Drosophila melanogaster: one gene and its partners. The protein of the gene in region 1 purifies or fractionates together with the protein of each later gene. This does not show direct contact. Each region holds a gene or a part of one and is shown in the gene's direction. Other genes may lie near its edges. The genes, in order: Prosbeta3, PSMG1, CG13319 and Cyp4g15.

What was found.
Region 2: the proteins of Prosbeta3 (region 1) and PSMG1 purify together in Drosophila melanogaster (affinity purification with mass spectrometry, with the first as the bait; one large-scale study listed by BioGRID). This does not show direct contact.
Region 3: the proteins of Prosbeta3 (region 1) and CG13319 purify together in Drosophila melanogaster (affinity purification with mass spectrometry, with the first as the bait; one large-scale study listed by BioGRID). This does not show direct contact.
Region 4: the proteins of Prosbeta3 (region 1) and Cyp4g15 purify together in Drosophila melanogaster (affinity purification with mass spectrometry, with the first as the bait; one large-scale study listed by BioGRID). This does not show direct contact.

The regions. Positions count from the first base shown.
Region 1 is NT_033777.3:9,004,395-9,008,826, reverse strand, and holds Prosbeta3 (proteasome beta3 subunit), read left to right. Parts: upstream 1-2,600; 5' UTR 2,601-2,755; coding exon 2,756-3,373; 3' UTR 3,374-3,514; downstream 3,515-4,432. Other genes in the region: CG11983 (uncharacterized protein), read right to left, coding at 1-113, 197-241; Iru (iruka), read right to left, coding at 971-2,113; CG11980 (uncharacterized protein), read right to left, coding at 3,577-4,318, 4,376-4,432. UniProt on the Drosophila melanogaster protein: Non-catalytic component of the proteasome, a multicatalytic proteinase complex which is characterized by its ability to cleave peptides with Arg, Phe, Tyr, Leu, and Glu adjacent to the leaving group at neutral or slightly basic pH.
Region 2 is NT_033777.3:5,792,372-5,797,086, reverse strand, and holds PSMG1 (proteasome assembly chaperone 1), read left to right. Parts: upstream 1-2,769; 5' UTR 2,770-2,864; coding exon 2,865-2,965; intron 2,966-3,018; coding exon 3,019-3,446; intron 3,447-3,510; coding exon 3,511-3,689; 3' UTR 3,690-3,764; downstream 3,765-4,715. Other genes in the region: CG10979 (uncharacterized protein), read right to left, coding at 1-658, 1,029-1,176, 1,247-1,709, 1,792-1,938, 2,047-2,202; Hpf1 (histone PARylation factor 1), read right to left, coding at 3,765-4,715.
Region 3 is NT_033778.4:12,921,218-12,925,604, forward strand, and holds CG13319 (uncharacterized protein), read left to right. Parts: upstream 1-2,686; 5' UTR 2,687-2,731; coding exon 2,732-3,130; 3' UTR 3,131-3,134; intron 3,135-3,204; 3' UTR 3,205-3,447; downstream 3,448-4,387. Other genes in the region: NAT1, read left to right, coding at 1-1,593, 1,662-1,840.
Region 4 is NC_004354.4:11,473,732-11,483,173, forward strand, and holds the start of Cyp4g15 (cytochrome P450 4g15), read left to right. Parts: upstream 1-3,326; 5' UTR 3,327-3,861; coding exon 3,862-4,060; intron 4,061-4,652; coding exon 4,653-4,850; intron 4,851-5,282; coding exon 5,283-5,465; intron 5,466-7,793; coding exon 7,794-8,482; intron 8,483-8,578; coding exon 8,579-8,870; intron 8,871-8,966; coding exon 8,967-9,130; 3' UTR 9,131-9,442. Other genes in the region: CG43155 (uncharacterized protein), read left to right, coding at 335-496, 559-682, 1,148-1,297, 1,609-1,800, 1,856-1,971, 2,034-2,126, 2,188-2,343. UniProt on the Drosophila melanogaster protein: Probably involved in steroid hormones biosynthesis.

The DNA.
Region 1 (4,432 bases):
GCGGGAATGCACGCCCAGGCTGTGGGCTTGTGGCGATTACGGGATTGGTTGGCCCAGGCGCAGACATTCTCCTGCAGCTGGCGCTCCAAATAGAGCACATATTGCTTGCGCACCTACGCAAAATAAACAAAAAAGTTCGGAAATAAACAAAAGTCTTCCCCAACAAATATTACATAGTTGGCTTGCTAAGACATACCACGTCGGTGAGCACCACAAAATCGTTACTTCCTTCGTGTGTCATATTATTTCGTTGGTCACGGCGTTATATTCTTCACTTCAATTGACTTTACGCATTTTGGCGGAGTTCTTAAACGGTTAAGTCAGATTTTCAGTCAAATGGGAATTTAAACAATTTGACGGAGCTGCCACCCTGTGAGGAACATATGCTTCCCGGAATAGTATGACCAGACCGTGTGAGCCAATAAGCTTCCTTTAGAACTTTTCGAAGTTTACAACCAGGATCAGACGAGACAGTAAAAAAATAAACAATAAAAATTGAAGTGTATCCACCTGAAAAACAAAAACACCGTTTACTTGTTGTCAATAAAGTTTAAGAATAATATCAAGTTTGAAGTCTAGACTACAATAGATGTTTATTTTAGAAAGTATTTTAATTTTACACGTTCGAGCTGCATGTTATTGAAATAATTCATTAAAGGAATTTCTTGAGGCAAGCACAGAGTCAGTTCCTATTTTGATTATGTAAATATACACGACACGCATATATGTACAATACAAGTTCCATTACAAAGAAAAATAAGCAACTACGCGATACGATAAACGAGAGTTGATTTTTGCAGAGCCAACGGAATCGTATGTCCCGTTTTGTTTATTACAAATCGTTATTTTGAACAACAACAAAATTAAGCGTGAGGAGAAACTATTATAAATATATATGCGGCCAATATTTGGCTTAATTTTGAATATCAATCGATCATCGCTCCACTTCGATTTAGCATCGCCCTACCAGCTAGTCCAGAAACATGTTGTCGTCGTCAAAGGTAAAGATGTTGTTGCGTGCTGCCTGGGCGGGATTAGCATCCGGACGTGTTCGGCCGCCTTCCGCCGCTGCCTGACTGGGATTATTAGCCGGCGAGGGATTGTCCGTTCCTGTGGCGGTGCTGGCCGATCTCCTTTCGGAATTACTGCCATCGGCCGCCATCTCTGGTCCGAAGGCATCGAGCATGACAAATTCGTCGTCCGCATCGTTGCCATCGTCTGCCAGTGACTTGCGGCATATGGGGCAGGTGCTGTGCAGGTTTAGCCAAGGCACGATGCAGTTCTCGTGATACAGGTGCGAGCAGGGCAGCTTGCGTACCGTCTCGTCAATCTTGAAGTCGTCCCAGCATATAGAGCACTGGATCTTGCGGTTTACCTCCTCGGCATTGATCTGCACATTGGGTATCTCGTTTATGCGCTGCGCCGACAATGGCGGCGGTCCTGAAGTTTCCATTTGGTTGAGCATTTGGGTGACAATGGTGTCTAGTCCCTCTCGGCCCCACGCATAATCTCCCGGGTTTCCCATGAAGAACATGTGCGAGTTACCGCCGCCGCCTACACCTCCTCCACCGGGTCCAGTTACTATTTCGGCCGTGGCGCCGGCCAGTGGCAGGCTCTGCAGAAAATCAAAGAGAACATTGTCCAGTCGGTCCAAATTTGCCGGACGCACTCGTCCGCCGGCGGTCAGGCCGCGGGCAGAGTCACTACCCGAGGGACCACCAAAGCCGCCTAGATGCAGCACGTTGCTGTGCCGTCTGTTTGGCTCGATGGTAATTTCCAAGTTGGGCACATTCCGCATGTTTAGCAGCGACACAATATCGTTACGCAGCGACTCAACATTCACCTGAGATCCGCTCGATGAGCTGCCTCTGCTCAGGGTGTCGTGTGAGCCAGAAGAGCCACTACCGCTGCTTCCGGATCTGGCACTGCCGGATGCTCCAGCCGTCGAAGAATCCATCTCCGGCGCATTTGCCGGCAGCTCCTCCACGAAACCGTTGGCGCACAGCGGACAGGTGAAGTCTGAGTTGGGAATGTTGATCTCCACGTTGCACATGTGGCAGAAGAATCGCTTGGCTTCCGCGGGGCGGTCCTCCACAACCATTGCCTCTGCCATCCTGCGGTAGGTTCTTTATTTCCTGGGCAACGGCTCCACTGACGATTGTGCAAGACTGTCGCCTTCCGATGATGTAGGCTGCTTGCGGCTGTAGACGTTGATGTGACAAGAGGAGGACAAGGTACACGCGCCTAGCTTTACCCGGTCATTGGGTTCAGTCGGAACAATTGGGAGTTTAAGGGATAGAATTTAATTTTTCTATAAATAAGGGCCCCTTACAAAGTGGCCTTTGCCGCAGAGGAGAATAAATCCCAACTGATTGACGCGGCCTGGTCACACTGAAAGCTAATACTGGCATATTAACATTTGGATCTTTTATTACTTCAAAAGGATCCAAATGATAAGAAAAATGCGTTTTAACATTCGCGGAGATATTTTTGCATTTTTAAACATTTTATAACTTTAACTTGTGTTTAAAAATACTAATACTTAAAAAATACTTAAAAAACGCGATTCTTTTTGAAATCTCTTTAGTAGGCGTTGCCAGTTCTATACAGCCAGTCAGTATTAGCCCATCTTACACTCGCAGTCTGGCAACGCAGAGCAGAAACAAAAAGTCATCTTCCCAGGCGGCTTTTAGCATTTTGCAAAATTTCCATTTTTCTGCTGATTAAATTGAGCTAAGCGAATAGCAACGACACCATGTCGATTCTAGCCTACAACGGAGGATGTGTAGTGGCCATGCGCGGAAAGGACTGCGTGGCGATTGCCACGGATCACCGATTCGGCATTCAGGCTCAGACGATCTCCACGGACTTCAAGAAGGTGTTCCACATCGGCCCACGGATGTTCCTCGGGCTCACAGGCCTGCAGACGGACATCCTTACTGTTCGCGATCGCCTGATGTTCCGCAAGAATCTGTACGAGACACGCGAAAACCGTGAAATGTGTCCCAAGCCCTTCTCGGCCATGATGTCCAGCTTTCTGTACGAGCACCGCTTTGGCCCGTACTTCATTGAGCCGGTCGTTGCTGGCCTGGATCCCAAGACCATGGAGCCTTTTATCTGCAACATGGACCTGATCGGCTGCCCCAACGCACCCGATGACTTCGTTGTGGCCGGCACCTGTGCGGAGCAATTGTATGGCATGTGCGAAACCCTGTGGAAACCCGATCTCGAGCCGGACCAGCTGTTTGAGGTCATCGCCCAGTCCATTGTGAACGCATTCGATCGCGACGCCATGAGCGGTTGGGGTGCCACCGTCTACATTATCGAGAAGGACAAGATCACGGAGCGCACACTGAAGACCCGCATGGACTAGATGATGTTAGAGGTTCCCTTGGTGATTTTGTATACATTAACCGAAATACACATACAAATAAAATTTGTTTAGGTACAACATGTGCGTATTTCTTTTCCGTATAACGTAATAACACCAGAATTAAATGCGTAATAACACCAGAATTAAATGCGATCTAATTATTGTTTTTCAATTTCAAAAGCATAACTTTAAGTCGTATTATATTATTGCTCTTCTGTCCACTCGGTGGATTTCTTGGCCAACAACATGGCAGCCTCCTCGGTTTTTGCCCCGCCAATAAATCCTGTGTGATGGATGAATTCGAGATCTTTGATGCTCGCCTTATCGCATAGTTCATCGTCCATCAGTCCGCGCCAAGGAGTGGGCAGAAATTTGCGGCCCAGATAGCTGCCAGGCGTCACTGGAACTCCGGCCACTCGCCAACTATTGCCGCTGTTGAAGACGACCAGCTTGGGCACACCCTCCACCTTGTACTCCTTTTCAAGATCGAACAGATGAGACTTCCAGGGGCAGAAATTCTTCAACACAAGAATCTCGCCGGTGGGATGGACGTTCTTGGCATTTTTAAGAGCCTCTCGTACGTGATCCCGGGCTGGAATCCAGGAACATGATACCTCCACAACGTTGTCCACAAACTCACGACCTGCAGTATCCATCGCCTGTCTGAATCGGTCTTCGATGTCTACGCCAGTTTCCTGCCAGGACGGATTCAGTTTGGCAATGCGGGCAGATAGATGAGTGGAGATTTTGTATATAGGCTCAACGCCCTCGAACATGGGCACTCCATTATCAATTGCGTCCAGTTCGTTGATAAAATTCCTATAGATCTGAATAAAGGCCGTTTGCAGGTTTTCCGGTGAGAGTTTAATTCCCTTTTCGCGCTGCAGGATGCTCTGTATAACACGCTCGCCATAGTGACAGTAGACCAGTCCAGCACTGCTTAGCCTGGAGGGGATTACATTGGATTATACGGGTTCATTTACGCTAACACCACGAATTCACCTGACAACGTTGTAGTCCTCGCTTACATCTGGGCGAACGGAACTAAAAGTCTCCTTG
Region 2 (4,715 bases), 3.2 Mb from region 1:
GATCTTACAGCGACATCGCAGCTGCTTCTCAACTGGGACGTTACGTTTCTTCTTGGCCTTACCCTTGACATCTTCTGCATCGGCATTGGATTCAGGTCCGGCCCCTGGTGTTAGCTCGTGCTCGTCGTCGGTGTTAGAGGCTTCGTCACTAGCAGAGTCACTTACATTGCCTAAGTTAAGCTGGTCCAATGACACTGTGTGCAGACCAGGTGCAAATGAGTCGTTCGGCTCTGGTAGATCGGCAAACATCTCATTCAGAGTAATTTCCTCGGTTTTGATCGGTTTTTTTTTCGGCAGGTCTATGGACGTCGTTGGATCCTCATCAGCTGCATCCACACTGGAATCATTGCTCTTCATCTTCAGTTTTTTGACAGAAGGAGCAGGCTTAGCCAGCGCCTCCTGCTTCGCCCGACAATTAAGCAGGTGTGTTGACAAGGCAGCGCGACGCTCGAATGATTTTTCGCAATAGATACACAAAGACATGATCTTACGGTGCTCACCGCTGGCATCTAGTGGCTCAGGGACATAGCCCACCACGTCGTCGGAGAGCTGTAGGCGCTTCAACTCCCGGCAGGGGCCCTTCGGCTGCACATCTCCTTGCTGAATGCGTCGCTTGAGGATAGTGTTCCGCATCATTCGAATACGTCGAGTTGGCTTCCTGAAAAATTAAATTGCAAAAGGACCAACATTAATATTAGTTCACACATTGCATGTATAATTTTTAGAAAAACCACTATCCCTATAAAAATGTATCTGTTATATTTTTATTTATGATTATTAGTTGTTCTGTTTTTATGATTCAGGGCTTAAAAAATTCACATAAATAGAAAGTAAATTAGATTGTTTCCTTGGAAACAATATGATTTTTGACATATACATATATGTATAAGGAATGCAGTATGCAGTAAGCAGATATAAATGGACCATGTGAAAGAAAAAAGGAACCTGTCCCCTTGAAGTAGAATAATATCATATATTTTATAATAATAAAATATAAAAATTCTATGGTCGGGTTAAGTTGAACTTACTTGTGATCCTTCGACAAATGACGAATAACAGCAGCGGCCTGCAGAAAGGTCAGCGAACAGGCTGGGCACTGAAACACAAACGCCGATGATGAGTGATGCTTCTGAATGTGCACCTCAAGCGTTTTGTGCGTCTGAAACGTCAGATTGCCTGTGAACGAGATTAGGAAACACAGCTATCACTAATTGTATTCAAGGCCTATTCGGTTAGGTAGTCGTACAGATCTCGCAGAAAATACTCGGCTCCGTTTCGTCGCTGATGGACTGCTCGCCGGAGTCGCTGCCTGCATTGTTTTCCAGCTTAACGGTTGCCAAGGCCTTGCCGTCGGGTCCCACAATGGTTTCAGATGGATTAAGCATGCGATGCACCTCGTCCAGTTCTGTCCTTATGCTGTCGTCGTGGTCCACTTTGATGGTCTGATAAACAGCCTGGCTAGAGTTGGGCACAGACTCCAGCTGCAGAACAGTGGGCGAGCTGCACTTGGCCTGTGATGTAGCCTTTTCCCGTCGCAGACGCTCTATAACACCACTCAGGTCCCTTATGCCGCCGCCACCTCCTCCTCGTAAGGGACGCACGTCGCGGGGAACAGGCGAGCATCCCGTGCTTCTGCTGCGTAGCATATGTTCAATGTCCTGCGGGGACGGACCACCACCCGTTTGTATGATCATAGTGGAATTCTGATCCTGGGGGAGAATTAACAGCGATTAGTTGACATCCTATGGTATTAGAGACCTTGTAATGGGGTTGTCTTTACTGCCCACTCACTGTGTATCCGCTGCCATTTGCCGAACGAGCGCTGACGCAGCAAAAGACGCGTTTGTGGCTGATGAAATTGGCCAGGCTGCGAAACATGTTGCGGCACACCTTGCACTCGTAGATCAGGCTGCACTCCAGACTGAGCAGCTGGCGCACCTGTGGGAGAATCTGATTGTTATCCGGGGATCCACCAAACTGGGGCGCAGGAGCCTCCGCCATTGCGGGCCACAATTGAGTCACGTACTCCACTCAGATGAGACTCACCTCGCTGGTGCCATCCTCATAGGCCCGACGGGCCTCCTCGAATCCCGTGTGGGCGGTGCGCAGCGGCCGCTGCAGCAGGCTGATGTCGTCACCGTTGTGGTCCATCTGCTCCTCCTTGAAAGTGTCAGAGTTACAACGTGAGCTTCGCTTTCTCATGGCGCTGGTTTGCGCGCTTGCTCCCACTGCTAACCAAAAAATTTGAGACCTGTCCTAGCGCGCTGCCCTACGGAATATTTTCACCGACGTGAGGTTCTTAATCTGTTTCTAATTAGCGATCAAAGTGGTTTTCCAATTCGAATATGGACCTGCATCTTGCATTTTTTGTATTCAGTATGACCGTGCTTGAGCGCTGCTTCTGCTGCGATGCTGATCTGGTATTTTTATTAACCTGTGCGGAATTTTTTGTTTCAACTTAAAAAAAAACGGAAGAGTCGAAAATATTTAATCAGGCAAAACCAATAAGCTGGAACCACATTTGTTTTAATATTCGACTAGAACTAACAATTGAAGTTTGATTTCTCCCTTGCTCAGTGGGCGTAACTTCCATCAATTCTCAAAACCCCCAAACAATATTGTCAATACATAATTTTGGAATTAGCTTATTGTTAAATCTTTAATTGACATGCCAAGCCCTAATAAGTTCAGAAAAAGCGCTAAAAGTTCCTAAATATTACCTGCAAATGTAATTTATTCAAATAGAAAAACGTTTATTTTGGCGTTCAGCACATGGTCACACTGATGACTTGAAAAAAACATAGTGACCGGAATTAGGCTCATCATATTAGTTTCACCTTTTTTATTAAATCAAAACAGACACGATGAGCTGTCCAGGATTTGGAGAACTAAATATACCCTCGTCGCGTGCCTTCTGGGACGACTGCGACGAGGATGAATTGGAGAACCTTAAGCCGGTGGAGAAGTGCGTGATCTAATGTTATTTACGTAGGTAGTCCTAATTTCTTGGATTCGCAGGCTGCAGCTGAAGTTTGATGATGATTGCGATGGGGAAGCTGCCCCTGTGGAGAGCGAGATGCTGGTGGTCATTGAGGGCGTCAACGTCACTCACTTCGCCTCTTCTCTGCTGGAAAAGGATGCAAAGCGTGTGTGCGCCATTCCTGCCAATAACTCGACCCTGCACTGGAGTCATTCGTCCAAACAGTTGCTGGCCATAATCAACGAGGACCTGACCAGTAGCGGCGAGGTAGCGGAGCTCCTACTGCCGTACGTGAAGCTTGCCAAGAAAGTGATCACTCTGACGCTTAAGCCAAAGGTCGAGTTCAAAAGCGAGGACATCCAGCTCTACCGGGATCACATTGCCGTTGTCCGCGGCATAGGTGCCAACCAGAAGGATATCACTGAACTAGAGGCTCCCAACTTTATCGCTGGAGTTGCAGCAGGCGGTGAGTGATGAGTGGAAAAGGAGAAGGTTGAATCACCTCACCATCTGTTCACCTTTTTTTGCAGTTGCCAGTTGGCGGGATCAGATGGAATTGCCTGTTACCTCTTTCGTTATTTACACCGACAAGCTGCCCCTCGACGCCACAGCTGCGCAGCCAGTGATCAAGGTACTTAAAGCCGCGGGCGTTGCCTGCAGCTCGAGCTACATCCCTCCGCGGAAGGAGAGCTCTTATTTGTACATGTGAAACTACTTTTGGCTGTGCTCAACTTCCTAGTTTTAATGCTTGTAAAAATGATACGGTTGCGGAATAAAAATCGAACTACTTAAGTACATCAAAAATGCTGAGGTTGTCCTCCCGACTACGTTGCTCCATGTGCGCCTTGGCGATGGCTATGAACTGTGGACGGGAAAGCATTGAATAGGCGGGTACCAGCAACGATGAGGCAAGCATGTGCAGCTCCTTGTGCCCACTGCAGAACATATCGATGCCTAGTTCCAGGGCGCTTCCAAAGTCCGATTCATCAACTGCTATGTTGGCTGCGTTGGCCACCGGCTGCAGCTTCTCCAGAACCGCCTGCTTGGCGGCTCCATTATCGACGTCCTTCCGCTCAAGCATTGCCAGCATCTTCTTGAGTTCGGAATCGCTGACAGCCAGCGGGCGGTATCCCACTTCTGTCTTCTGGTCAAAGGGCACAACAATGCCGGCTCGGTGGAATGTCTTGGCCACAACACGCTTGTTGCGCTCCCGCTGCAGTCGGTCCAGCTGGGCCAGTTCTAGGGAATTGTCACTCAGGTATTTTGCCACCGCCTTTTTGGTCCCCGCCAACTGCCCGCATGAGAACGGAGTGGCCGCAAAATCGTGCTCCAGGTAGTAGAGGAAAGCATCGAAGGCATTTCCAGCGACGAATTGGAACTGGCAGCCTTTCGCAGAGTCGTTGCGGGCTATTAAGAGATTTTCCTTGTCCTGCGGCACATCGCGCCAGTAACCGTAGTGAATCCCAGTGCCTCGGCGCACGAAGATCGTCTGAAATTCTGGTGGATCGTAGTAAAAACGCCAGTGGCGCAGGTAGTCTCCCGGTTCGCCTAGTTTGGCGCCGTGAAATTTACCGGCTAGGAACTCAAAGGGACCCACCAACTGCAGTTGAAATACTTTGTCTAGGTGCTCCAAGCCAGCATCCTTGGGCTTCGCAGGATCAATTTTTAAGCTTCCCACAAACTTCCAAAATTCGTAGAAGTCCGGCGGCATTTCGACAAGGAACTTGTGTCGAAT
Region 3 (4,387 bases), on another chromosome or scaffold:
GGGGCAATCAGCTGCTGGGTAGTAAGGAATTGGCACCGAGGTTCAAACGCAACTTGATCACCACGAACCAGGATGCGGTGGAGAACTTGCAAATGCGCCCGGCAGCCAACTCCTTGCTCTTCCGAGCGGCCTCCCAGAACCAAAAGTTTCCGGCTACGTTGCCCATGTCAACACCGCCCAATAGCAGCGGCAGCAACAACCAGGGCAGCTCGCAGGGCCAGCTCTCGAACTCCCACTACCCTATGCTCGGCACGCCCACATCCCATCTGATCAATCCAACGCGTCCCTCGTCAACACCATCTGCTGAGTATGCTGATAACCGAACTCTTTTGGGAGTTCAACAGGAGAGGGGATTGAAGGCCACCTCTTCTTCGCCGAACTTTTCATCAGGAGCGGAGAAGTTGGATTTAGACGGTCAGGCGGGCAGAAAGGGATCGCACGACGGCAAAGATCAGGGCAAGAATGGCTCCGTGGAGAGACCAAGCACTCCGGCCGGCGGTATTGGCTCGGCCAAGCAACAAAAGAAAGATAAGGGTCCCAACAAGGAGGAGCTGTCTAAGAAGGCCAGTCAGTACTTCAAGGATAGGTTCTACTACGATGAGGAGGAGGATGCAGAGGTGACGGAAATTGAGATCAAGGATATTGATGAGACAAAGACGGAGGAGGCCGACGCTGCTCCAGTTGAAGTCTCGGAGGTAAAGGAAGATGCTGCAATACCTGTGACCACTCCAGATCGCTTCACCAAGCTTGTAGATGGTTTCCTCGAGCTTAAGCTGCCAGAGAAGGCGCTGAAGGATGTGTGCATCAATCTGCTGATGGAGGTCTTGGACCGTGTAAACGATGTCTTCTTGGAGCGTGCTGTGCGCCTTCTGCAGACATTGCGCAAGCAATCCAATATCAAGCCGAACATCGTGGTCGAGATTTTCAAGCAGGTGGTCAACAAGATGAACGAGCGAGAGGCACTCAATCCCCGAATCGTTAGTCTTGTAGCCAGCTTGCTGGCAAAGACAATTTGCGAGCCAGCATTGCTGAAGTTAAGCGATATCGCCAACTTCACGGACAATGGCCAACACTATCCGCTGTTCCTGCTCGTGCTGCAGCAACTGGTCAAGGTCATCGGCAAGGATGCGCTGGAAGAGAAATTCCGGGCGAGCAAAGTTGATCTTATGAACAGCCTGCCGGAGGCGGATCGGAACAAGGAGCGCTTGGCCGGGATACTCGAGGATCGCAAGCTTTCTTTCCTTTATCCGCTATTGAAGGTACAGGCCGAGATGCTAAAACAGCTGCAAAGCGACCCGAACCCCAACAACTTCTACAAGTGGATCAAGGCCAACGTTGACAACAAATACTACAAGGACCCGGGCTTTATCCAAGCCCTAATGACCGTGGTGGTCAAGTATGTGACCAAGGAGACGACGCTGGCGGACAACCTCGACCCCAAGGAGCACCCTGAGAAATCGGTGACCCAGAAGGAGCAACAGCTGCTGGAGAACTACAGCCAGATGCTGCAGACCTTCCTGGGACAGAACGAGCTTCAGTTGATGGCTCTCTATGCTCTGCAAACGTTCTGCTACAATGAAAATTTCCCCAAGGGTAAGTGCTCAACATTTTAAATCTAATCTGTTTTATCGGCAACTTATATTTGCTTTTTTCTTCGTTAGGCATGCTGTGCCGTTGGTTCAAGTATCTTTACGAATCTGAAATTATAGAGGAGGAGGCATTCGTCCTGTGGAAGGAGGAGATTTCCGACAAATATCCAGGCAAAGGATCCGCTTTGTTCCAAGTGAACGCCTGGTTGACTTGGCTGCAGGAGGCCGAATCTGAGGACGATGAGGATTAGAAAGCAACGCAGTCCCGCATAATAACAGCGCTATATGTTTATCACTTCCAATATTTATTCACAAATCGATAATGATTACATGATGAAAAACAACAAAACTAACAAAACACGAAAAATAAGAAACAAAATACCATCAGGGTGGAAGTTTGAAATCGCGGTTGCAAAACTTAGTCAAATTATAGTAAAAAAGAAAAACAAAACAAAAAAAATTAATCAAAATTATTTGATATCCAACAAATTCAAAGAACATTAACAATCAATTATCAATAAATAAAGCGCAATAGACGTCAAATATAACCGATATTTATCCATACATCATAATTCTCATTGACATTTCAAGCATAACGAATAATTAGTGAATTTCATCTTTTTTTTTTAACATAACAACCGGAACTGATCTTTAAATCGAATAACGTTGATTTCAATTGCCTTTTTTTGGTACTCTCGACGATTTCCCTTTTGTGTATTTAAATAAGTAGGTCAAATCAAAGCGACAACATTAACATTATAGAAAAGGAAAAACCAATCGACGCGCGCCGAAGAGAGCAAAACAAAATCTGAATGTAATTGTGAACAAAATATCGTATATATGTATTTAACTCAACCAACGTAAACATTAAAAAACTCGCCCACATTAAATAGAGCCTTAATAAATGCAACCAACACTGCGAACGGCGAAATCAAACTGACTTTCATTGGCTTTTGAGGGAGTAATGCAAATTTAAAATCCGCGCCTAAGCTCTGTAATAGCTGCCTATCGATACAATTTTCGATTATTTTGAAAAGCTATCTATGGTCGTTTCGTTATCTGGCAACACCGCTCCGGTCAAACTTGCTATTTCATTGTTTTCCTTGTGAATATTGCTTGTTTATGTATAAAATTCACGACTAATGGATAGCGTTCCTGCGAATGTTGTGCCTGCGAAGGAGTCTGGTGGTTTCACCTCACATTGCGTCCACTTGGCGGCGGGTCCCTCGCAATTCACCGTGCGCGCCCTGAAAATGCAAGGCAGCACCATGCTGATCATAAACCCCAAGGGATTGGAGGTTTTCGAGGAGCTAGCGGTGGCCATGCCCTCTCGCAATCCCGCCAGCAGCCAGTCCCTATCCTCCACAATCCTGGGCGGACACGGGCAGACCGACTCATCTGTTCTGGCCGCCAAATTGAGTAAACGCTACTGCCGCCAGTTCTACGTGAGCCTTAATCTCAAACTGGATCGATTAATGGGCCCTCTGTTCGAGAAGACGCTAGTCACCTACATGCAAGACCATCTGGAGCACTTCGCTTGAGTGGGTACAACAACTTAGTGTGGCATAAATTTAATCCTCAATCGCTGACTTATTTCTGGTTCACGTGCACACAGGGCCCGCCTGCGCTACCGATGACACGGCGCCGCGTGGGGGTCAACGTCTATTTCGGGGACCGGCGGCTACCCCACGGACGCAGCTTCACGTACTCTACGCACTCCATCAGCTAACTATCTGGGATCTCCGATTCCCGATCTCCGCTCAGACGTCATGCGGCGGCCGAGTGAGCACGAACTTTAAACGTGTATCGGTGATACGAATTTTGTACAATAAATTTATTGCCCTAAGTAAGTTTACAGACGCATGTGGGCTTTATCAATTGTGTCGCGATAGCAGTGCTCAATGTAAGAAGAAGTCACCCGCTGTGTGAGTGATCGCGTGCCACCCGCATGCTATTCATGCTGCTGCTTCACCACCCAATGATTTGAAGGTCAGTTTGGCTGCAGTGATGATCGCTTGATAGGTGATTTCCCCGCCATCGTATTAAATTCGAATATACATATGTGTGTGTTCGCATTGCGCCGGTTTGTTCATCAGGCCTCCGTTTCGGTTTCCCTTTCGAATGAATGTTTAGGTTTAGGGAGAAGTTAATATGTAATAATCATTCGGAAGTTTTCCAAATGGGTACCATTTCAGTTTGATCACTGAATACCTCTGACAAATAATATCATTAGATTTGTTTTTATGTTGTTAATTTGAACTATTCGAAAAGTTAGTAGGATACCACTATCAAATGTATGTATTAACTAGCGGGTTTACAATTCACAATGTGATTAACAAGCTTCTAAATTTGTGTGAATAATACTGGTTGAAAATATTATATCTCTTGTTACAGTTCGTTTAGCTTTTGAAAAAATGATATTGGTGATGACTGACTATAGGAACTCTCAACTTTACTAATTACCCACGAGCAAAAAGTTGATGTCACTTCCTGCATGAGTTCCCAATTATAATGATTGCGATATCCAAAATATCCAAGTCACTATTCACTATTTCAGAATGGTTCTATGTCACAGAAAGTCTGCAACTTGAACAGTTTGATACTCAGGTATAGATAGTTGAAGGACCAACGCGACACCTTCATAATGCCCTTTATCTATCGGCATTCTCAGACTGAAAGTTGGCTATACTTCCTGCCCGCCAATCGTAAATATAAATCGGTTGATAAGACGTCTGAATTACCCCCGCCAAGAATGCCAGTCATATTTTTAATGGAACAGCCCCCAGCAGCGTTGTGCT
Region 4 (9,442 bases), on another chromosome or scaffold:
TTGAATGAAGATTGGATTCTGTTGTATTTACGTTTTCTTTCCATCACTTAAGAACATCAAACAATAGCATTTCGAATTCCACTGAATGGGCATTTTTTCTTCTTCCTCTTTGGCTCATTTAAAAATAATCGTTAAGTTATTGTTCATCATTATTATTAGTTGTCGGGGCGAAGGTAACGGGGGAAAGTTCAACATTAATCGGAATTTGAATGAGTTTGTATGAATGCTGGGAAAATACCTATTCTGCATTCCACAAATAAATCTTATTTATTTAGTGTAAACTTACTAGTTGAAGATTAAAAGTATTAAGTAACTTTTTACACATTTCCATCAGATATTTCGCCATTTAGAACGTCCTGCGGAAGTGGAGCGCCTTTCGCATCTGAAGGATATTGTGAAAACGCACAGGGAGCGCTTTTTGCACACCATATTGAACAACACCGAAGTGCACAATCTCGACGAGCTGTTGTCCTTCGAACTGGCCAAATACGAAGCGGTTGGCATTCCCTTTAAAAAACCCCAAGCTAACCACCACTGATAACAAAACCAATCTTGCAGGCCGTTCAACAGGCGGCTGAGGGAGGGCTACTCATTGTGGCCGACAAAGACTTTCCAGAGCCCTACGAGCGATGGAGCATCCTGCAAGCTGTGTTCTTCTCATCGACTGTGTTAACCACCATAGGTGAGCGATGCACCTTAAGTTATTCATTAATTAAGTCAAATAACGAAAAAGATACTCAAGGGATGGAAGACACCATAACAACATAACATATCAATAAGAATATAAAGAGTGTTTTTCTCATAACTTATCTTAAAATGGTCATATAAGAGCAGGAATTACTGTTTTGTGCAGATAATTACCACTACTAACTATCCCTAAGACTTTTTGACGGTTTTTGAAAAATTAATTTTTGGGTCGATTTTCGCATTTTCGGTAAGGGGTAACATCATCAAAATTTGCGAAAAATGGCGAAAAATTAAAATTCCAAATTTTAAACACAGTTTGTTTAGAATTTTAAATACGAACTCAACGAGGTATAACAATCCATATTTGGACCATTATTTCCAATGTTGTGGCCAAAAATGTGAATATTTTCTGTAAGCCTGATTAAAGTAATGAATTTCTATTGTTATTCAACTATTTCAGGCTATGGCAATATTGTGCCAGTGACGACCGGTGGTCGGGTGTTTTGCATTTGCTTCGCCCTCATCGGCATCCCGTTCACCCTCACCGTGATTGCCGATTGGGGTCGACTGTTTGCTACCGCAGTCTCTGTTTTTGGCAAACATATGCCCAGTAAGTAACTAAAACATATTAAAAACCAACTGAAAATATGTATGTAGAGTGCTTAGCCAAAAACAATTCCCAATTAATGTGATAATTAAATGGTAATATACAATAATAACATAGGCATAAAAACACAATCGTACACAGTGCGTATGAGCGTTAATAATGCGACTGCATTGAAAAGCATTGCGCATACGCACCGTTGGTTTTGTGAGCATATTTCATTTGTGTAATTATTGCAATGATGCGTGAAGACGCTGCAGCTGAATGAATACTTTATTAATAATATTAATGCATATGTTATTATTTAAACACCCTAGCGAAACCAAAGTTTACCAACTTTATTGGCAAAACCTGGTTCTATGCCATTTTGGCCGTCGGCTTTCTGGGCGTTTACTTGGCCGCTGGAGCTGGTCTACTCCTGCTTTGGGAAGATGATTGGACATTCTTCGATGGCTTCTACTTTTGTTTCATCACCATGACAACCATCGGATTCGGTGATTTGGTGCCAAGTAGGTTGTTGGAGCACCCAAGTGTGTATTTACTTCATTTTGCCATACTCTTCAGAGAAACCCAACTACATGCTACTGTGCACATTGTATATTCTTATTGGCCTGGCCCTGACATCGACCATCATTGAGCTGGTGCGAAGGCAATATGCCACCAGTTGGGCCAAGCTGCAGGTGGGTTCTACAAGTATACACTATTTTTATTGTATTATTTACCAAATTTAACTATTTTCCAGGAGCTATCTGGTCCCATGGCGGAGACTCTGCGTCGCTTGGGCGAAACAGCCGGCACGGGCCTCGATTATACAGCCCTGCAGAAGGTGCTTACGGTATGATGATTCTCACAAAATAAACACAAACATACGATACTAAATGAAGGTTTACCACCAGGTGTCCATGCCCAAATGGAATAGTAAGAAGAATGAGCACAGTCCCGATATTGCGGCCCTGGAAGCCATCACGAATGCCATTTTGAAGGAGGTGAAGGAGGCGCAGAACAACAAGCCGAAGGTCCTGCAGATCGTCATATACGAGTCGTCCGTTTAGACGGAAAGGAGGGATAGAAACCAGACAGCGAGATTGAGCTTCCATCGATGAAAAAAGTGCTGCATAGTTTTGGGCGAGCAGGCAGAAAAGCAAAAAAAAAATATATATATACATATATCAAGCGAAATATCAATTGTAGTTAGGCTGCCGATCGTAAACCACATGTTACAGTGGACACTGGCTACTGTAGCACTGCCAGACTTCCATAAGTTAGTGTCCGTACTTATAGCTATTATATAGTCAAATGTCTAGGCAATAATATTGCTCATACGTACTGAGGTCACTCTTACACACACACACACACACACACACACACAGACACACACACATGCAAAGCACGGCAGGTGATTTAATATCTATAGTAATAGAAAATCTTTTTTTTTTTGAGTAATTCTAACCGTATGAGGTAGCTTAGGTTATTCGTAATCTTAATCGTAACTCTTGTCCATACCATGCATAAATGTCATCTTAAAAATAAACCAAGAAAAAGACTTCAACAATCTGCAAGCGTTTTTAACCCAAGAGATACATATCGAAATGATTTTTCACTTTGATCATTCGTTTTTCTGCTCAAAAGCTTTGGCTAATTTCGTCACTCGGTTTTGAAGCTCAATTCTCGTGACGAATGGAACTTTCACCGGGATGAGCTTAGAGAAGACCTGAGTTCCGATTCACATGATCCAATTCTACAGAGAACCACCCCAATTCCATACCGCAGTTATTTACTCGAGCACTGTGAGAAAAGTTGCCACCATTCGTGCTCAGATCATGAAAAATTCGAAGGGTATGCCACATGGAAATATATGCATATGAATTGAACAACAAAAGGATTCTAGAATATTTTTGTTAAATATTTAAGTTAGTAATTGCGCAACTTTTAACAAGCCGTCGCATTTGCTTGCGAGCTGAGTGCACAATTTTTGTTCGCAGTGCACATATGCTGCACATTGTTGGCTATAAAAGTCGTTCGCACCGTCGCCGCTGTCTAGTCGCTGGAAAAGAGGCGCGAGGAGTGCGAGTGCGGGTCCAACGTATCTAATTTATACACATATCCAGCCGATTCCGAGTCCGTAACTCCGCCATCCGATCCGGTCCGATCCTCTTCGCATCGCTCCGTTCCCATCCCATTCCATCGCATCGCATCCCCTGTGTGTGGGTTGATATACGCGATCATTTCGCGCTGGTTGCCTCGGCGAGGGGCTGTCACCGTTTAGTTGTGCGCTGGCCGAGCAGCGAGTAACATCCGGTCCACCGATCCGATACGATCCTATCCGATCCGATCCGATCCGATCCGCAAAACCCAATCCAACCCAGCCCATGGATAGCTGATCGATCCGTGTGTACTGTGTGGGAAGTGTGCGTGCGCCGATCGATTGGTTTTCTTTTTTGTTTTGGTGTTTTTTCTGTGACCTGGTGAACATTGTTGACCGATCGAAACAGAGAGAGAGAGAGAGAGAGTGAGAGAGAGGGGGAGAGTGTGTGAGAGAGAGAGCAAGAGAAAGAGGATCCCGACAAGCAATGGAGGTGCTGAAGAAGGACGCCGCCCTGGGCTCACCCAGCAGCGTCTTCTACTTCCTGCTGCTGCCCACGCTGGTGCTTTGGTACATCTACTGGCGATTATCGCGGGCTCACCTGTACAGGTTGGCCGGACGACTGCCGGGACCACGGGGACTGCCCATCGTGGGTCATCTGTTCGATGTGATTGGACCCGCTTCATGTAAATCCACTAGACTAAGTGCCATTTTTTTCGCGGGAAAGGGTGCGACATAGCCCCTTAGCAGGCATAAGGGTTAAGCAGCCAGTGAAAAAAAAAAAACGAGGATAACCAGTTTTAAATACGGATTATCAGGCAAACTCCGAATTGAATTCAAATCACATAAAAATATTTAATTTTCAATACATTTCAAAAGAAATCCTGCTGCTATTGAGAAATCAATTTGGAACAAACTTTAAACTTAAAGAAAAGCATTTTTGAAACTTAAAATATAATACTCGTTTGAAATCTTTTTAAAACACTTCTGAAAGTACACACATTTATTTGAAGTTCTACTTCAAACGAAACTTTAATTCTGATTTAAAAGTAATTATCATGCATTTTCCAAAATTTTAAACATTGATTATTAGTTTTTAGTCACTTGGAATAAAGTTTCCGAATAATAGTGAAATGAAAATTCTTCTCCTTTTTATTTTAAGAAAGAACTTATTTCTGACTTTTAAAATATAACACATACTAGAGCACTAATTATCCTTTTCAAAAATTAATCGTGGTTTTGAATTGATCCCCCAAATTAATCCGTGTATCCCCGCAGCTGTTTTCCGAACAGTCATCCGCAAAAGCGCCCCTTTCGAGCACATAGCCAAGATGTGGATCGGGCCCAAGCTGGTGGTCTTCATCTACGATCCGCGGGACGTGGAGTTGCTGCTGAGCAGCCATGTCTACATCGACAAGGCATCCGAGTACAAGTTCTTCAAGCCCTGGCTGGGCGACGGACTGCTGATCAGCACAGGTGAGGTGGGGTTTTGAGGGGGAAAGCCTCCCACATTTAAGGGGTGGTGTCCACTTGCCACTAATGCAATTTGCGAAATCATAAATTAATTAAGCGATCCGCTAGCCTGACAGTTGGCACAACAATGCCGCTATAAATAAAATCAACGTCGCAGAAAAGTCACGGAAAAAAAATGCACAGTCGTTTGCACTGAAGATATACCAATTTCAAATGTAATAAGTTCAAAATGATAATATGATAAATAATATTACACATGATGATTTTCAATTTAGACAGACATGTAAGAAAAAAGTACTATTATTTATTAGCTTGAGTGATAATCATGAACAAATTTGTAATGTAATGTCCAATTTTTTTTTGGTTTTTTTTTTTTTGTAAGAATATCTTGTATGTACGATCGGTTCTACATTCCCGCTCCATCTATTGTTGCAGGTCAAAAATGGCGATCGCACCGCAAACTGATTGCACCCACATTCCATCTGAATGTCTTGAAGAGCTTCATCGAGTTGTTCAACGAGAACTCGCGTAATGTGGTGAGGAAACTGCGTGCGGAGGATGGTCGCACTTTTGATTGCCATGATTACATGAGCGAGGCAACCGTGGAGATTCTATTGGGTAAGTGAACAGATATACAGATAGATGGATGTACAGATACATTCATATACAGATATACAGATACAGATAGGTGCGATATACGGATATGGGGATAGAGATAGCCATACTATGATTACACTAAAGTACAGTCAACCCACACGCACTCGCAATCGCAACGATCATCCGAAATACCCATACCATTCCATGACATACCATCATACCACGCAGTACGATACGATACTATAGCATACCATGAGCATACAATCCAGCATCATCATCATCATTTCAGTTATATGCGTGCGCCCAAGCCACCTAATCCCCGCTAGAAACGCCGTGGATATGGACACATTATATTGTATGCCACACACAATTGAGTGCAGACCCATTTCCCTATATACTGGCAAATCAAAAATTTGCCGCTTTTGTTGTGGCCCCACAATGGGAGCAAATGAGCATATACATACATGTGCTTTTGCATATAAAGATATATATATATATAGATATATATATGTATATATATATTTCAAATCCCAGCCCCCAGATTTAACCGAATTATGCCAAACTGATGCAAACTGGTTGGATTTGTACCCCAAACGATCATGTTGCTTGGTTATGAAAATTCCATAAGTAGGGGTTCTTACTAAGTTAAAACAAACAATCGAAGATCAGTTAAAAAGATAATCGATATCTTATATAGAGTAAATTTACAGCATATTCAAAACATAACTATTGTAGCTCAAAGTAGGACAAATTTATTTGGGAATTTGAAAGTTATAGCAAAAACATATGGCATATACAAATATTGTATGTCCTCCATATTTAAGCTTTATAGAAGCTTAACAATAGTTTCAGTTTCAGTTTAATGGGAATATTACACCGAGATATCTGAAAGATCCAAGTTCTATCAGCAATAAACAACCTCATATTTCTAGATGCAGGTTAAGGTAATACCTATAGGTTTTGGCCCACCCAAATGGTCTTGTTTATCATCATACCAATGGCACCCAGATGGCAATTCGCTTAAAGCCAGACACGTTTTGGGCCTGGAGTGAAAAGTGAAACCGGCAAGAGCCTAGACAAAATTGGCTGGTGGCCAATGTTAATGACATTGTGGAGCTCGTAGTGCTCGGCCGATTTGGGATTGATTTGTAGGCCATTGCATAATAATCCGAGCCCTGCACAATTGAAATGCAGCCAAGATTGCAGAATTCAATTGCCTTGGATTGGATTGGATTGGATTGGATACGATGTAATGTGATGTGATGGAACCGAGGCGAACCGAACCGAACCAAACCGAACCGAAATGCAGCGAATGAAAATGCAACGCAACGAATGCGGGATTCGCAGTCAGTAGTGCAATTAAAGCCACGTCGCACTGCCATTAAGCATTTAATAAGGAAAATTTGAATGCAACGACTGAGGTTGTTGTTCACGGCGATTATTAGTCTGGGGTATGGGGTCTGGGTCTGACGCAAACGGGCAATTAGCAATTAAGAACTCAACGAAACGAACCCAAATGCCAAGCGAAATGCGAATGAAAATCCGGGCGAGTTTCCACAGGAAAAACTCAAATGTGTCATTGCATAAGCCAGATTTTCGTATTCCTTTTCCGCACGAGCAAAACTCAAATTTAGCAGTTTAATTTTTAGATATGCTATTTACACGAACCTATTCAAATTTACTGACCTATCTCATTTGCAACTTGAATCTTTCAAATCGTTTTCAGATTGCACTGTCACTTTCCTTTAGTTTAATTCCAGTTATAGACCGTGATTCACTGTGATTGGCAATCGAGAACTTATCAAAAAAAAAAAAAAAAAAAAAAATGCCAAATTCCACGCTCGCAGTTTTCCCACAGCACAAAAACACACATGATTGTACACACGAAGCGGATTTGTCCGTAAGCTCGTTTATGCTGTCATCTATAGATCTATTTATGCATTGTATCTACAATTAGACAGGCGGTGGATGGATGGTGAGCTGGCGGGGAATCCGGGGGCTACCTCCGCCGCCTGTTGTCTGTTTGTTAAGTTCAATTGGCGCTTGGGTCAGGCGAGTGCATTCCACTTCCCCCCATTTGTGCTGGGGGTCCATCCCATCTACATCCACATGCCATCCCTTGCCAACTCATCTCATTCTATCCGATCTCCTCGCATCCGATCTCGATCGCAATCTGCTCTTCAAATCCAGATACGAGTCTCTGCACTGAAAGGAAAAGTACGATTCGAATGTGATGGGATATTGAGGTTATACTTATACTTCCTTTTAGTTATTATTTAATATAATCACAATCTAAACCTACTTGTATAAATACACACCTTTCTGGGTGCTACATTTTGGCAATTCCAGAGACTGCGATGGGTGTGTCGAAGAAAACGCAGGACAAATCGGGATTCGAGTATGCGATGGCCGTGATGCGGATGTGCGACATCCTTCACGCCCGCCATCGGAGCATCTTTCTGCGCAACGAGTTCGTGTTCACCCTGACGCGCTACTACAAGGAGCAGGGTCGCCTGCTGAACATCATCCACGGCCTGACCACCAAGGTGATCCGCAGCAAGAAGGCGGCCTTTGAGCAGGGCACCCGTGGATCCCTTGCCCAGTGCGAGCTGAAGGCAGCCGCCTTAGAGCGGGAACGGGAACAGAATGGTGGTGTTGACCAGACCCCATCAACAGCTGGCAGCGATGAGAAGGATCGGGAGAAGGATAAGGAGAAGGCCAGTCCGGTGGCGGGACTGTCCTATGGACAGTCGGCTGGTCTCAAGGATGACCTGGATGTGGAGGACAATGATATTGGTGAGAAGAAGCGGCTGGCCTTCCTTGATTTGATGCTCGAAAGTGCACAGAATGGAGCACTCATTACGGACACGGAAATTAAGGAGCAGGTGGACACGATCATGTTCGAGGGACACGACACCACGGCAGCCGGCTCCTCGTTCTTTCTCTCGCTGATGGGCATCCACCAGGACATCCAGGATCGCGTACTGGCCGAACTCGACTCCATTTTTGGCGACTCCCAGCGACCGGCCACATTTCAGGTGGGTAACTAATGCCGCACACATCACCATAGTTAGTTAGTTATATTCTTGAATGTTGAACGTTAACCGCTTAAAATGTCCGCATTCCGATTGCAGGACACACTGGAGATGAAGTATCTGGAGCGGTGTCTGATGGAGACGCTGCGCATGTACCCACCCGTTCCATTGATCGCCCGCGAGCTGCAGGAGGATCTCAAGCTGAACTCGGGCAACTACGTGATTCCCAGGGGCGCCACGGTGACGGTGGCCACCGTCCTGCTCCATCGCAATCCGAAGGTCTACGCCAATCCCAACGTCTTCGATCCGGACAACTTCCTGCCGGAGCGCCAGGCCAATCGCCACTACTACGCCTTTGTGCCGTTCTCTGCGGGACCACGCAGCTGTGTGGGTGAGTTGCAGATATAACACTGAAGCAAATTATGTGAATATTCGGATCGTCTATATGAATAATGTTTTGTTTCATTTATTATAATTATTTTTTTAGGGCGCAAGTATGCGATGCTCAAGCTGAAGATCCTACTGTCGACCATTTTGCGGAACTACCGTGTCTACTCGGACCTGACCGAATCGGACTTCAAACTGCAGGCGGACATCATCCTAAAGCGTGAGGAGGGATTCCGCGTGCGCCTCCAGCCGCGGACCAGTTGAACCCCGGTGGCCGCGACGAACATCAGCTAGGCGAACCAGGTGGACCAGGTGGAGCGGGTGGGGCAGGCGGAACAGGCGGGCAGCACACCATACACCGTACACCGCAAACAATAAGCTACACAGAACGGACACTTATCCATACATATAACTCCACTTGTTGGCAAGTGATAGTCACCGGTTTATACAGTAATATTGATAATATTAAATAATAATAAACGTGCTCCCACACTCGATTTATTGAATAGTATAATGATTATTTTTTTGACGCATTTAACACAAAAAGCAACCACAACTATCGTCATCTTCCTTTAA